Arabidopsis thaliana: one gene and its partners. The main gene of each other region encodes a partner of the protein of the gene in region 3 in a complex. Each region holds a gene or a part of one and is shown on either strand. Other genes may lie near its edges.

Region 1 (3,367 bases), on a different chromosome or scaffold from region 3:
TTCGAACTCTCTGTATTTGTATCTTCATTGTGTATTTCTCCAGATGATTTGACTTAAGCTTTTAAGGTGTCAGGGTTTAATGGGTTCAACGGGATGTACTCTGTATGCGTGCTTTATGAAATGTATAGCCATTGATGTTGATCTTGGAATTGACTCCATAAACATGCAATGCAAGATAAATCGATCTTCTAAATTTCTCCTGGGACTAGACCGATACAAGATAGATTCAAGAATCAGAGTGATCAACCCATAACTGATATAAACATTTCTAAAAATGTTTTTGCTGAAACTCTTCATCAAACACACTTTAGATCACTTGGCTTAAAAATCTACAATAGAGTGTTTAGACCAAGTGTTGCACTATGGTGAGCAGAGCACATTGCCGTTTCACCTGAATCCAATCTAAAGGGAAATTTTAAAATTCCAATAATGCGGTATACTATACCGTACTCTTTAGAAGCTACATTCCCATTGCTATGGCAGCAAACAGAGCATTTGACAACAACTCCAGCATCAACCGCCACAAAACAGATACCATTGTGCTTTCATTTTCACATATCAAACTTAAACTCTTGTCATCCCAATTCAATTACTACTTGCAGAAATTAATGAGACCCAAAAGGAAAAAAGCAATTATAGAGAAGCAACATAGATGACAATGACGAGAGCTATAAACTATAAAGTTGAGACCTTTAAACTCAAAAACAGAGGAGAAAGGTTGAAGCTTTATAAATCGCAAATTTGGTCCATTCATTCACCAATCAAACACAAACAAACCCAACAACAAACATCAGAAAACTGAAAACACAGTAAACAACAACAAAAGTTCTCAAACTAGATTACAACCAAATCAGCAGATAACTCATACCAACTAGGCAGCGCCTGAAACCAAATCTCCCGCAGCAGTGGCAGCACCACCGTCGTCAGAAGCGAGAGTGAACGGACTCCATTCCGCCGGAAGAGGAGGAAGAGGAGCGTAAACAGTAGGCTTTCTCTTAATGTCCCAAGGCTGAGTCTTCTTCGGCCTCGTCTTCCTGTGATGAGCCGTCGATTTCTTCTGTGGCCTCGACGAACACTCTATCACCATCCCTAATCCTCCTCCATTACCCAATTTTGGAACTTGAAATTGGCGGAGAACCGGAGAAGCAGCAACGGTGACGATTCCGGTACCAAAGATCGCTGACACAGACATGGTTTCCTTATCTTTGTGCAAGTGAAAGTGAGTTTGAGCCTCTTGCTTCGGATTAGAGAAGAACTTCATATCTTCGTTTTCGTTTTTCCTGGGCTTTTTTATTGGGCCTTTGAGGTGTCTATTGGGCCTTTGTATATAGTTATGTAACTCGTTATGCTGCAAGCCTGCAGGCTGCAACAATCTATAAGATAAGAAGAGAACAAAAATTAAATTATTAGTGGCATCGAACTTTTTGTTGCTTAAACGTATCGAACTGTATAACCTCGTTAATTAAAGGAATTTAAGAATAGAGTAGCTGATTAAAAATGTATATTTTGCAATTTGTAAAGATGTCATGTATGATGTATACAGAGTTTTAAATGTTTTCTTTAACCTTAAACCAATAATGCTACAAGTGACTACGAGATAAGGTCTTTTGAATCACTTCTACAATAAAATACATTATTTCGGATTCTGCATCTTTTAATACTACACAAAAAAATACTTTTTTTATTAGTTTGAGTTTTAGGATTTATTTATATTCAAAGTATGCTTATTAAATTAATAAATTTGAATTTTCTTAACTTTGTTGTGTAATTTTTTTTTTCTTTTTTTTATAAACAAGACACGATTCATAGTCAATCCTTATTATGCGAAGTAACACGACTTAGTAGAGTCAAACTCTGGTAAAAAAGGTAGAATCAAATGGATTTAACTACTTAACTAAAAACATATTCTCATTTATGGTGTAATTTAGTTATCGAATTTGAGGAAGAAAACTAACTTTTTGTTTCAAAAAAAACACTATAAAAATGTTTATGTTATCATTGCTTCCTCTCTTTTAAAAAAGAAAATAAAATTAAGCTAGCGAACATTTATGTGAACTGACATTCGAAGACATCCATTCTAGTGGCTTTTAGGGTTTTTCAATGCTGCCAAAGCGACCAATAAATATATTTGTCCAAAACCTGTCTAATACTTATGGTTAATAATGTATTATACCTCAATAACAAGCCTAAGTTAGGCTTCAAACTAGCTACTATCACCAACCTAACCAATTTCACATTATATCAAAATAATCAATTGTCAGCGAAAATTGCGATTGCCATGAAAATTACTCTTCTTTACGTAGACTCAAAAACATTTACTAAAATTATGGCCCAAAATAAGATTACTTTCTTCTACGTGACTAGCATTATCCAATACATTCACCAAATCCACGTGCATCGGATTATCACCCCTTATTTTGTTGTCGACAAATTTGATTCTTTGGGTTCTTTATTTACAATAATAGTACTACGTATCTCTATATCAACAGCTCAGCCACTCGATTACACTAGTACGAAGAGATTCTGTTGGTTAGATCAAATTAGGTATCACAAACCTACGGTACCCATTGTTGCATTAGTATATAGTTTCGCAAACCTTATCCTTATCTTAGCACCGTTGAAATTATAACCGCGAGATAACACTTATCTGACTCTTTTTTTTCTAATCCCACTTATATATCAATCAATTTCATTCATTTTTAGAATCACGAAATTTGATTATTTGTCTTAAGTACGAGTCATCAACCATGGATAGTTAAATAGTTTTTTTTTTTTTAACATCTTGTTTTATTTTATTAGAATTGAAAGAAAGATTACATAGTTATTAGACACACACATATAACCAAAAGATGATTTAAGTTTAAGAAGAAGATACAATCGAACAAGTGAATTAAACAAATTAAATAGTTATACACGATATAACACATACATACATATATATAACACATACATACATATATATATATATATTTGTTTACAATATTATTTGATGGTTTTATATAAACAAATATTAGTCTATTTACAGGTAAGTGTCTTGTATAAAGGCCTAATTTGAGCCAGTTTTAGTCATGTGATTGCATTACATCGAGAAGAGAACCATATATGAATCGATTGCTCTCGTCCGTTTGCACTTTGCATTATTGCGTTATTTTGTTTTCTTGGAATTAGAGTTTGTATTTTGTACTGCACTAGCCATGCCAGCTAAATGAATATACCAGGAATCTTTTGGATACTTTTTTTGTTTATCAATATTTTTATTTCGGACCTTAATTAAAGGAAATTGATCTTGGTCGGAAATATTTATATATTATCTAGAAAATTTTAAAAGATACGTAAAACAAGCTTTTCCTTTATGAAAAACGATCGA
Region 2 (4,198 bases), on a different chromosome or scaffold from region 3:
GACGAAACCCAAAGGCGCTTCGTGGAGCGGCCACGTGAAGTCGAAGCAAAGTTTCCGTACGATTTTCCTCCGGCGTCGTCTCCGGGAACTGCGGGGAAGAAGAAAGAGCGAAAGAGAGAGAAGAGAGGGAAAAATGTGACACGTGTGAAAACAGTTGTGCATTGTAAGAGACGAAAAAACAAAGGTTAAAAGCGACAGGCTGGAAAAAAGAGGATGATGACGTGGCAGATATTGATTGGTGTTTGATTTTATATAGTGGCTAAAAAGGCTATAATGAGCTTTCAGGGTGGTAGGCCATTTTTCGTCTCTCACGATTGATGATATTTTAAATTTATTTCTCCGTGTCCATTAATGATTGATTGTTAGCAAGTAATTAATTATCGGACATAAAAGTCATCATACAGAGGAAAGAGACAAGAAAAATACTCAATCATTCGTTTCTTTTTTCCTGCTTTAGCTGGAAAATTCATTTACATGAATGAATTACATGATTTTACATGTAAAAAATCTATTTTGAAAAGCAATTTCAATGATTCAAAAGTTTTATTTTAATGATTAAATCAGTCATATTTCTGAAAAAGAATACTAAAGGGTCCAGATTCTACATACTCAAGATCAAAACAATCAACATTGATTTACTTTTCTTAAATTACTGTTACTGTAAATTACATGAAAAGAAATGAAATCCAAAAGACGAAACAAACAAACAATTATTACAAGAGAAAAGAGAGTAGCTAGCTACCTTTGGAGATTGAAGACAACACAAGACAAGACTGGTGTTGGGTTTGGTGATCATTTAAAAGTTGAGAGACGAGGAAGTTTGTCCCTCAGATAGTAAAGTCTTGCTCTTCTCACTTTCCTGTGACTTACCACTTTTATCTCCTTTATGTTGGGAGAGTATCTGTTAAATTCAAAACACACATCACATCAGATACATATTCTAAACCAAGATCAAAACATATTACTTGATTGTGTAGATTAGTATCTGTTCAAGATCAAAACATATCAGTTACATATTACTTCATTGTAGAATCAGCCAATAGTACTGGAAAGTTCATAGGGACTAGTATGTTATGATAACGGCTAGACTCTAGAGTGATTAAGATTAAAGGTTGGTGCGCGTTTCTGTAGTAAATAAGCACAAAGCTTGGTGACCTATAATGCTAAGACTTCCAGCATTTATGTACTAGTTCCTATAGTATCATACTTGGAGTAGCAATTATTTCCTTTTTTCGTGAAGAAAGCTAATACATATGATCAGATATAGAATTGTAAATCTCTTAAGTTCTCAAGAAGCGAAGACTATGACTGTTCACGATAAAAGAAGCTAATTCCGGTTTGTTTTAGAGTTCCTAAAATCTCTCTCAAAGCCAAAAGACTCCTTAACAAGGTCAAAGACCCTTAACTCTGACTATCTAATACTATTTACATTTATACTTATCAATATACCCGAGTAAGTGTGTGATAATAGGATAGTTAAGGAAGAATAAACTTACATGGGAAAGACGATTTCAACACCAATGCCTGCAATAATCCTCCGGATACGGATAGTAGTGTGGATGCCTGCATTTTGTCTAGACATCACAATACCTTTGTAGATAGATAGCCTACGTTTGTTCTCAGGAACTTCCTGTAAAATCAAACCCACCATGTCGTATCAAAATCTTGCAGTTAAATGCATAAATTGCATAAGATTATACGGGGACAATGAGTTTTACCAGTTTGATTTCTACAATATCCCCAGTCCTAAGTCCAGGAACCGGTCTTACAGTCTCTGCAACCTCAATAGCTTTCTTGTTCAGTAGCTACAGAAACAAAAAGCAAATCAACATTTCATTTCTCCAATGCCTAAAAGATAACTGATGATTTAAGAACAGGAGCCAAAACAACTACAGTATCAGACATGTATAATCAGATTCAGAGCCAAAACAAAACACTAGACAATCTCATAGAATCACATTGGATAATGAACTAACCCCCATGATATCTCCGAGCTTGACTCTCGTCTTCCACGGAGGTTTAGCTTCCTCCGCCGCAACAGTGGCTTCTCCTTCTCCTTCCGCTTCAGTTTCAACAGCATTCTCCACAACAGCCTCAGTTTCACCTTCAGTACTCTCTTCAGCTTTAGCGATAAACTCTTTTCTCTTCTTGGAATCGATGGCGAAACCAAAATTGGAGCTCGAATGATTGAGAAAAACCCTAGAAACTGATAGTCTTGAGTTCACTGATGATGCTCGTGGTAGAATTGAAGAAACCCCTAAATTCTTCGACGAGAAAGAAGGGGTTCTCGGTATCATATGCAATGCCTGGTTCCATAAATGGTAGATAAATACAGAATTCAAAGAAGCATAAGTATGAAAATGTGATTGAGCGTGAGAGAGTGAAGAAGAAGAACCTGAGGAAGAAGATGAGAGCTCGTCGCCATGTTTGCACAACCCAAACTCGAAACCAGAGTAAAGAAGAGCCTTATCGCTTATCCGCTCCGTGTATTTCAATTTATGGGCCATTTACTAATTTTATGGGCCTAGACATTTAGGCCCATATTCAATTGATATAACAAGAAACCCATTACCAAAGCTGGTTCTACCAGTCTACCACCACGAACCAAGGCTTGTCCAAGTACACTAATGTAGAACCAAAAATGGTTTAAATAAAGAGTTTCTGTTACAAACAAATGTATGTTTATGTGTCCTTAAATTGATAGCTCTAAATAATCTACTTTGGGCCTTTTAAAAGTTATGATTGACGAATAAATTTCTGCTGGAGTTGAAATATTATTCTATGTGACTATGTTGTATATTCAAGTCGTCTACATGTTCACGTTACATTGACTTACACCGCAAGCGATGAAAAGCTATTATATGTTAGTTTAATCAGAATACCAAAAAGATAATAATCAAAATATTCCATCTTCTTTCTTTGTGAAACGAATATATATTCTCTTACAGGTGGTTTAATTAAAAGCTTGACAACAGTACGTAATATTAGCATACATATAAAAAGTTACATTAATTGGATACGAAATTTTAATCTCCTAAAGATAGTTATTCTCCGATTGTATAGAATCAAAAAAGAAAAGAACAAAAATCGACAAAGAAGAAGAAAAAAGATTGATTGATTCTTTTGTCCTCCACGCATCTCTCTGAGTTGGCTCGGCCACGTCAGCATTCAAACATCAAAACCAAAACGCATTTAAATGTCGAAAAGAGTGGGTCCCTTTTTTTCTTTTTTCTTAACCGTGTCATTGACAAAAAGAGCACTTAATAAGCCAAAGCCACATAGAAGAAAAAAAAAAGAACATTCACGTCTCTCTCGTTTTTTTGGCCGACGACGATCGCTGAATTGACTGCCGGAGATTCCTTTAATCGTCAGATTCTCGTTGAGGGATAATGAATCCTGAATAGTAAGAAACTTGTCTTCTCGTTGTTTCATGTATCTATTGTTTCGGATCGATCCGCGTTTTTTATTTTTTGATGTGTTTGGTGATTTGGTTTTTGTTCGATTTTGCTTTGGATCTTTGTTGGTTGTTAGGTTTGTGAATTGAATCTACCTAATTTTGCTCGTTTAAGGTATTTTGTATTAGAATTTTGTATAGATTTGGATTTTCGTTCCATGGATCTTATACAGGTCAGATCCGAGGAAATTTGATCGAGATCTGCAATTTCTGTTTACTGTTGTAGTTGAAATTCGCGAGTGTGACACAATTTTCCCTTTGATCTCATTAGCATATTGTATATAGATGTTCTTGCGTTTTTATTTCCTGACCCGAATTTTCATGAGTTTATGAGCTTCACTGAGATTGGTGTTTACCGTTCTGTTGTTGCAGTGACTATCTGTTCAAGCTTCTGCTTATTGGTGATTCTGGTGTTGGAAAATCATGCTTGCTTCTAAGATTTGCTGTAAGTATTCCCACAATTCTGGATTCATCATCTCTGGTAGTTACTTTTTAACATTGTGTACACACAAAAATTTGAGGATCACATCTTGGAGTTCAATACCTGTTGCTCAAGACTCAAAACTCAAAAGTCATTACTCCATTGGATTAGCTTAGTTCTCACTATGGTATCATTGTTACTCCTTTGTGTTCTTATTTCCTGATATCTTGAATTTTATGTGGACAGGATGATTCTTACCTGGATAGCTACATAAGCACCATTGGTGTTGACTTTGTAAGCACCTTCATTTGCTCATCACTCAT
Region 3 (4,395 bases):
CCAAATATTCAACTTGTTTTCATATTATTATGTAGATTTAGCATTCAAGTTTTTCATTCGGATTTTTAAAGTACTTTTTAAAATTTAGATTTTGTTTATTCGGATTTTAAAAATCTTTTTTCATGTGTTTATTTTTTAAAATTATATTATTTAATGGATACTAAATTTATATAATGATATGAAATCTAACCGGATTTTGGATCCAGCAATAGTCGTTAGCGATTCCAAACATTCAACTTGTTTTTCCTATTATTATGTAGATTAAACATTCAAGGTTTTACTTCGCATTTTTTAAAATAGTTTTAATATTATTTTTTTGGATGCTAAATTTACATAATGATATGAATACTAACCGGATTTTGGATCCAACATTAGTCGTTAGCGATTCCAAACATTCAACTTGTTTTCATATTATTATGTAGATTTAACATTCAAGATTTTTATTTGGATTTTTAAAAATAGTTTTTAAAATTTTGATTTTGTTTATTGTCGGATTTTAAAAATCTTTTGTGTTTGTTTGTTTGTTTTTAAATTTATTTGGATGCAAAATTTACATAATGATATGAATACTAACCGGATTTTGGATCTAGCATTAGTCGTTAGCGATTCCAAACATTCAAATTGTATTTCCTATTATTATGTATATTTAACATTCAAATTTTGGATCCAGCATTAAAAATTTCAGTTTTAAGTAATGACTCGATTAAGGCATGAATATTAGATTTTCCTTGCATCTGTGATCTCATTGGGAAGGTTTGTTACCAATTGAAGAGGAAGTTTTTGTTAATGGTGACTACTGTTGCTTATGGCATTTGTATTCATTACATGTCATCTTTTTCATGTTGAAGAAGATATTCAGTAGCAAAAAAAAATAACGAGAAATATTTCAAATTAGAAAGTTTTGTAGCATAACAGAGTTGATAGAAGCGAAAACAAGAATCTGTAAAGCCTCCTCTGGTTTTGGGATGAAGAAACTACAGAAACCTGAGAAGAAAAAACTCTCTGCGCTTGGCGATAATGGAACAGTGGTGGAGCTTCTATTTTTGCAGCTGTATTCTCTTGTCCCTGATAGGCAGATCAAGCGGTTTCTGGGCCTCGTGAGGATGGTCAGGGCCTTTGTACACCTTCAGGTGATTGAACAGAGCTCTCCCAAGCTGCCACAAAATGGTCAGACCAAAGTTAAGAGGGAGTTGGAAAACTAGTAATCAATCAATACCAATATCGCAACAAGTAGTTTCCAAGTTCAATCCATAAGTTTGAAGAAACACGGATTTGCTAAGTGTTAAGACTTAAAGGAGACTAATAAAGAGCTGTGGATTATGTATCTAACCCGTCCCTTTGGAAGCATTCCACGAACAGCATGCTCAACGATTCTTTCAGGAATTCTCTGCTGCAATTGATCAAATGTCTCTACTGTCATACCACCAGGTCGTCCTGAATGCCTCCTGTACAGCTTTTGGTTACGCTTCTTTCCAGATACAGCAACTTTCTCAGCATTCACCTTTAACCAAACAATTGAAAACAGTATTAGAGGTACCAAGTTACAAGCATTGCCCAAACATCTACATAGAGGCTCTACATCTTGCTGCTAATGTGAATCTTACTAAAACCAAATCCCAAGGCTCCTCCTTCAGGAAGAAATTAACTAAAGCAGCACATCAAATTTCTTATTCTCTACAGATAGCTCAAAGAAACTCATACCACAATCACAAAAGCTCCCATGTCGACACTAGGAGTGTAAGAGGCAAGATTCTTCCCACGGATGTGATTAGCAATTGTCGATGCCAATCTACCAAGAATTTTGTCAGTTGCATCAACCACAAACCAGGGCTTGTCCGTGTTCACATGGTCTGAAGCTTTTGGATACCATGTCGTGTTCCAGATGTCCTGTAAACCATAGAATACACTCAATAAAGGTTTCAAGCCAAAGACTTTTAACTTCTCTCCAACCAAACATTAATAATTTCATAAAACGTCCAAGTTAACAAATTCAGAAGAATAAACATCAATTTTCGAAGCCAATTGATGCAGACAACACAGCTAATGAGTCAAAGGCAAAATCCACTACTTAATAAATCGCAATTGGGAGAAGAAAAAAACAAGCCATACTTCAAATTCAAAGCAAGAGCTAAAGTGCGACACTTTATAAATGCGTAGATGCTAAACACAGAGGGAGATAGAAAAATTATCGTTACAGGGCCATTAGCTTCTTCTTCGTCGAACATCCATCGTTGATTCGCCGGAACAAGAGAAGTCGTCGTCGTCGGCTCAGCTTCACACTTCACTTGCAATCCTCTTTTCGAATTCGCATAAATGCCGACTCGTACCGACGGCTTCGAGATAGCCGTTAAAGAGAACCCTAAAAACGGAGACTTTCTCTCACTTCCGGAGGATTTCACGGAAGAAGAAGAGAGTATCACCGTCGAAGACGAGCAAAGAACCGCCATTTTTGTTTTTCTCTCTTCTGCAAATTTCTTCTGCTCTTTCCGATTTCTCGGATAAGATTGGGTTCTCAGTAAATAGTAGTAGTGGCAACACCGTAAATAATCTGATGAATACGACCGAAAAATAAACACAACACGGGTTAAGGATCCGGGTTTTTTTCGGAGCTCCGGATTCAACCCGAAATACTGTTTTTTTTTTCTCAATAGGAGAGAAAGGTCTTCTTCGGAAGCAAGCTAAGTCATGGCAACGATTTCGTCAACTCTACTCTTAAATTCTTCTAGATCAGCTTTACCACTAAGATTCCCAAAATTCTCGGGATTTTCTTCTTCCTCTCCATTCGCTAGATCTTACAGATTTGGACGACGTAATCTGGAACCACTTTCCAACGGAATGCTTTCGTCGGGAAGTAGAGCCGACGGTGCTACGGCGGCGGCTGCATCGATGGAAGGAGTGATGACGGAGGCGATGAAACTGATTCAATCGGCGTCACCAACTTGGAAATCAGCTGTGGCTAACAATTTATTGATTTTTGTTCTCGGTTCACCGCTTCTTGTTACCGGATTGTCCGCTTCTGGGATCGCCGCCGCGTTTTTGCTTGGTACTTTAACTTGGAGAGCTTATGGCTCTGCTGGTTTCCTCTTAGTCGCTGCTTACTTCGTCATAGTAAGTGCATTTGTGATCAACCTGAATGTAATTCGGTAACTGACTCTTAGAACGTAGAAATTCGCTGCTTTGATTTTGATTTCGAGCTGATGAATGAAGAATGTCCTTAGATTTTAGATGTGTTATTGTTTAATTTAGGAATTGTGGACGTGTTAGAGATCCTAAATCACGTTTACAGATTAAGGAGCTACTTTTTCTGATCATGCTCAACATTGAGATACTTAGTCTTTTCTCTGCAATGCTTTAAGTTTTAGATTTCAATATCGTGTTTCACCCCAGAGCTGGAAATAGTAACAGTAAATTTGCAATTGATTCTGGCGCTGAAGTTGGTTTAGATGATTTACAATATCACAGGGAACAGCGGCAACGAAGGTTAAAATGACGCAAAAGGAAGCACAAGGTGTGGCCGAAAAGAGAAAGGGTAGAAGAGGACCACGCAGTGTGATTGGTTCAAGTGCTGCTGGTTGTGTCTGTGCTTTTCTTTCAATATATCAAGTGGGAGGAGCAGCTTTTTCCCAGCTTTTCCGGCTTGGTTTTGTTTCCAGTTTCTGCACTAAAGTATCTGACACTGTCTCGAGCGAGATAGGCAAAGCTTATGGAAAAACAACGTGAGTATGCTACTGTTATCCAGCTATAGCCTCTTCTGTTATGGTCTGTGTCTGTTTTCTGTCTGATGTATGGCATGGACTTGTGGTGTCATGACATGAATCCAATCGACAACTGAAATGATCTTACTAACCATTGCCAATTCGCAGGTATTTAGCTACGACATTTAAGATTGTACCAAGAGGAACAGAGGGAGCTATGAGTCTTGAAGGAACATTGGCTGGACTTTTAGCATCATTTTTTCTTGCATCTGTTGGCTGCTTCCTGGGTCAGGTAATAGTGTTATTTGCTACCAAAATTTCCCTTCACAGCTTCTTTATGCTACTAAAGACTGTTATCATTACACGATTTTTAAACTTCTTTTCCTTTTGATATCTTGAACACAGATAACTCCTCCAGAAGCAGCTGTATGTGTACTAGCTTCCCAGATTGCCAATCTTGGAGAGAGCATAATAGGTGCTTCTTTTCAAGACAAAGAAGGATTCAAATGGGTATGCTCACTTCAATGAACTCTCTTCTTTTTGTTTTATTGATCTCACTCTGTCTACTTGTTGTCAATGCAAGAAGATGATAATCAAATGAATATACCGTCACTTCTTGCAGAAAGACTGATAGATAACTGGCTTGAGTGGAAAACGATTTCCATTCAATACAGAATTTTGAAGTTTTCGTCTTATGAAT

Evidence for each region. Proteins that work in one complex are often made in the same cells at the same time.
Region 1: emb1473 (region 3) and PSRP6 share a complex: the UniProt entries of both Arabidopsis thaliana proteins name them as parts of the 50S ribosomal subunit.
Region 2: emb1473 (region 3) and AT5G47190 share a complex: the UniProt entries of both Arabidopsis thaliana proteins name them as parts of the 50S ribosomal subunit.

What each region holds. Positions count from the first base shown.
Region 1 is NC_003076.8:5,905,642-5,909,008, reverse strand, and holds PSRP6 (plastid-specific 50S ribosomal protein 6), read right to left. Parts: upstream 1,421-3,367; 5' UTR 1,262-1,420; coding exon 872-1,261; 3' UTR 545-871; downstream 1-544. Other genes in the region: CSA1 (disease resistance protein (TIR-NBS-LRR class)), read left to right, coding at 74-135.
Region 2 is NC_003076.8:19,163,640-19,167,837, forward strand, and holds AT5G47190 (Ribosomal protein L19 family protein), read right to left. Parts: upstream 2,497-4,198; 5' UTR 2,426-2,496; coding exon 2,396-2,425; intron 2,307-2,395; coding exon 1,977-2,306; intron 1,806-1,976; coding exon 1,719-1,805; intron 1,631-1,718; coding exon 1,497-1,630; intron 902-1,496; coding exon 793-901; 3' UTR 545-792; downstream 1-544. Other genes in the region: RAB1A (RAB GTPase homolog 1A), read left to right, coding at 3,390-3,403, 3,827-3,899, 4,122-4,169. UniProt on the Arabidopsis thaliana protein: Located at the 30S-50S ribosomal subunit interface and binds directly to 23S ribosomal RNA.
Region 3 is NC_003070.9:29,574,049-29,578,443, reverse strand, and holds emb1473 (Ribosomal protein L13 family protein), read right to left. Parts: upstream 2,639-4,395; 5' UTR 2,448-2,638; coding exon 2,196-2,447; intron 1,888-2,195; coding exon 1,702-1,887; intron 1,502-1,701; coding exon 1,331-1,501; intron 1,155-1,330; coding exon 1,038-1,154; 3' UTR 564-1,037; downstream 1-563. Other genes in the region: AT1G78620 (integral membrane protein (Protein of unknown function DUF92, transmembrane)), read left to right, coding at 2,686-3,135, 3,463-3,716, 3,864-3,987, 4,101-4,205.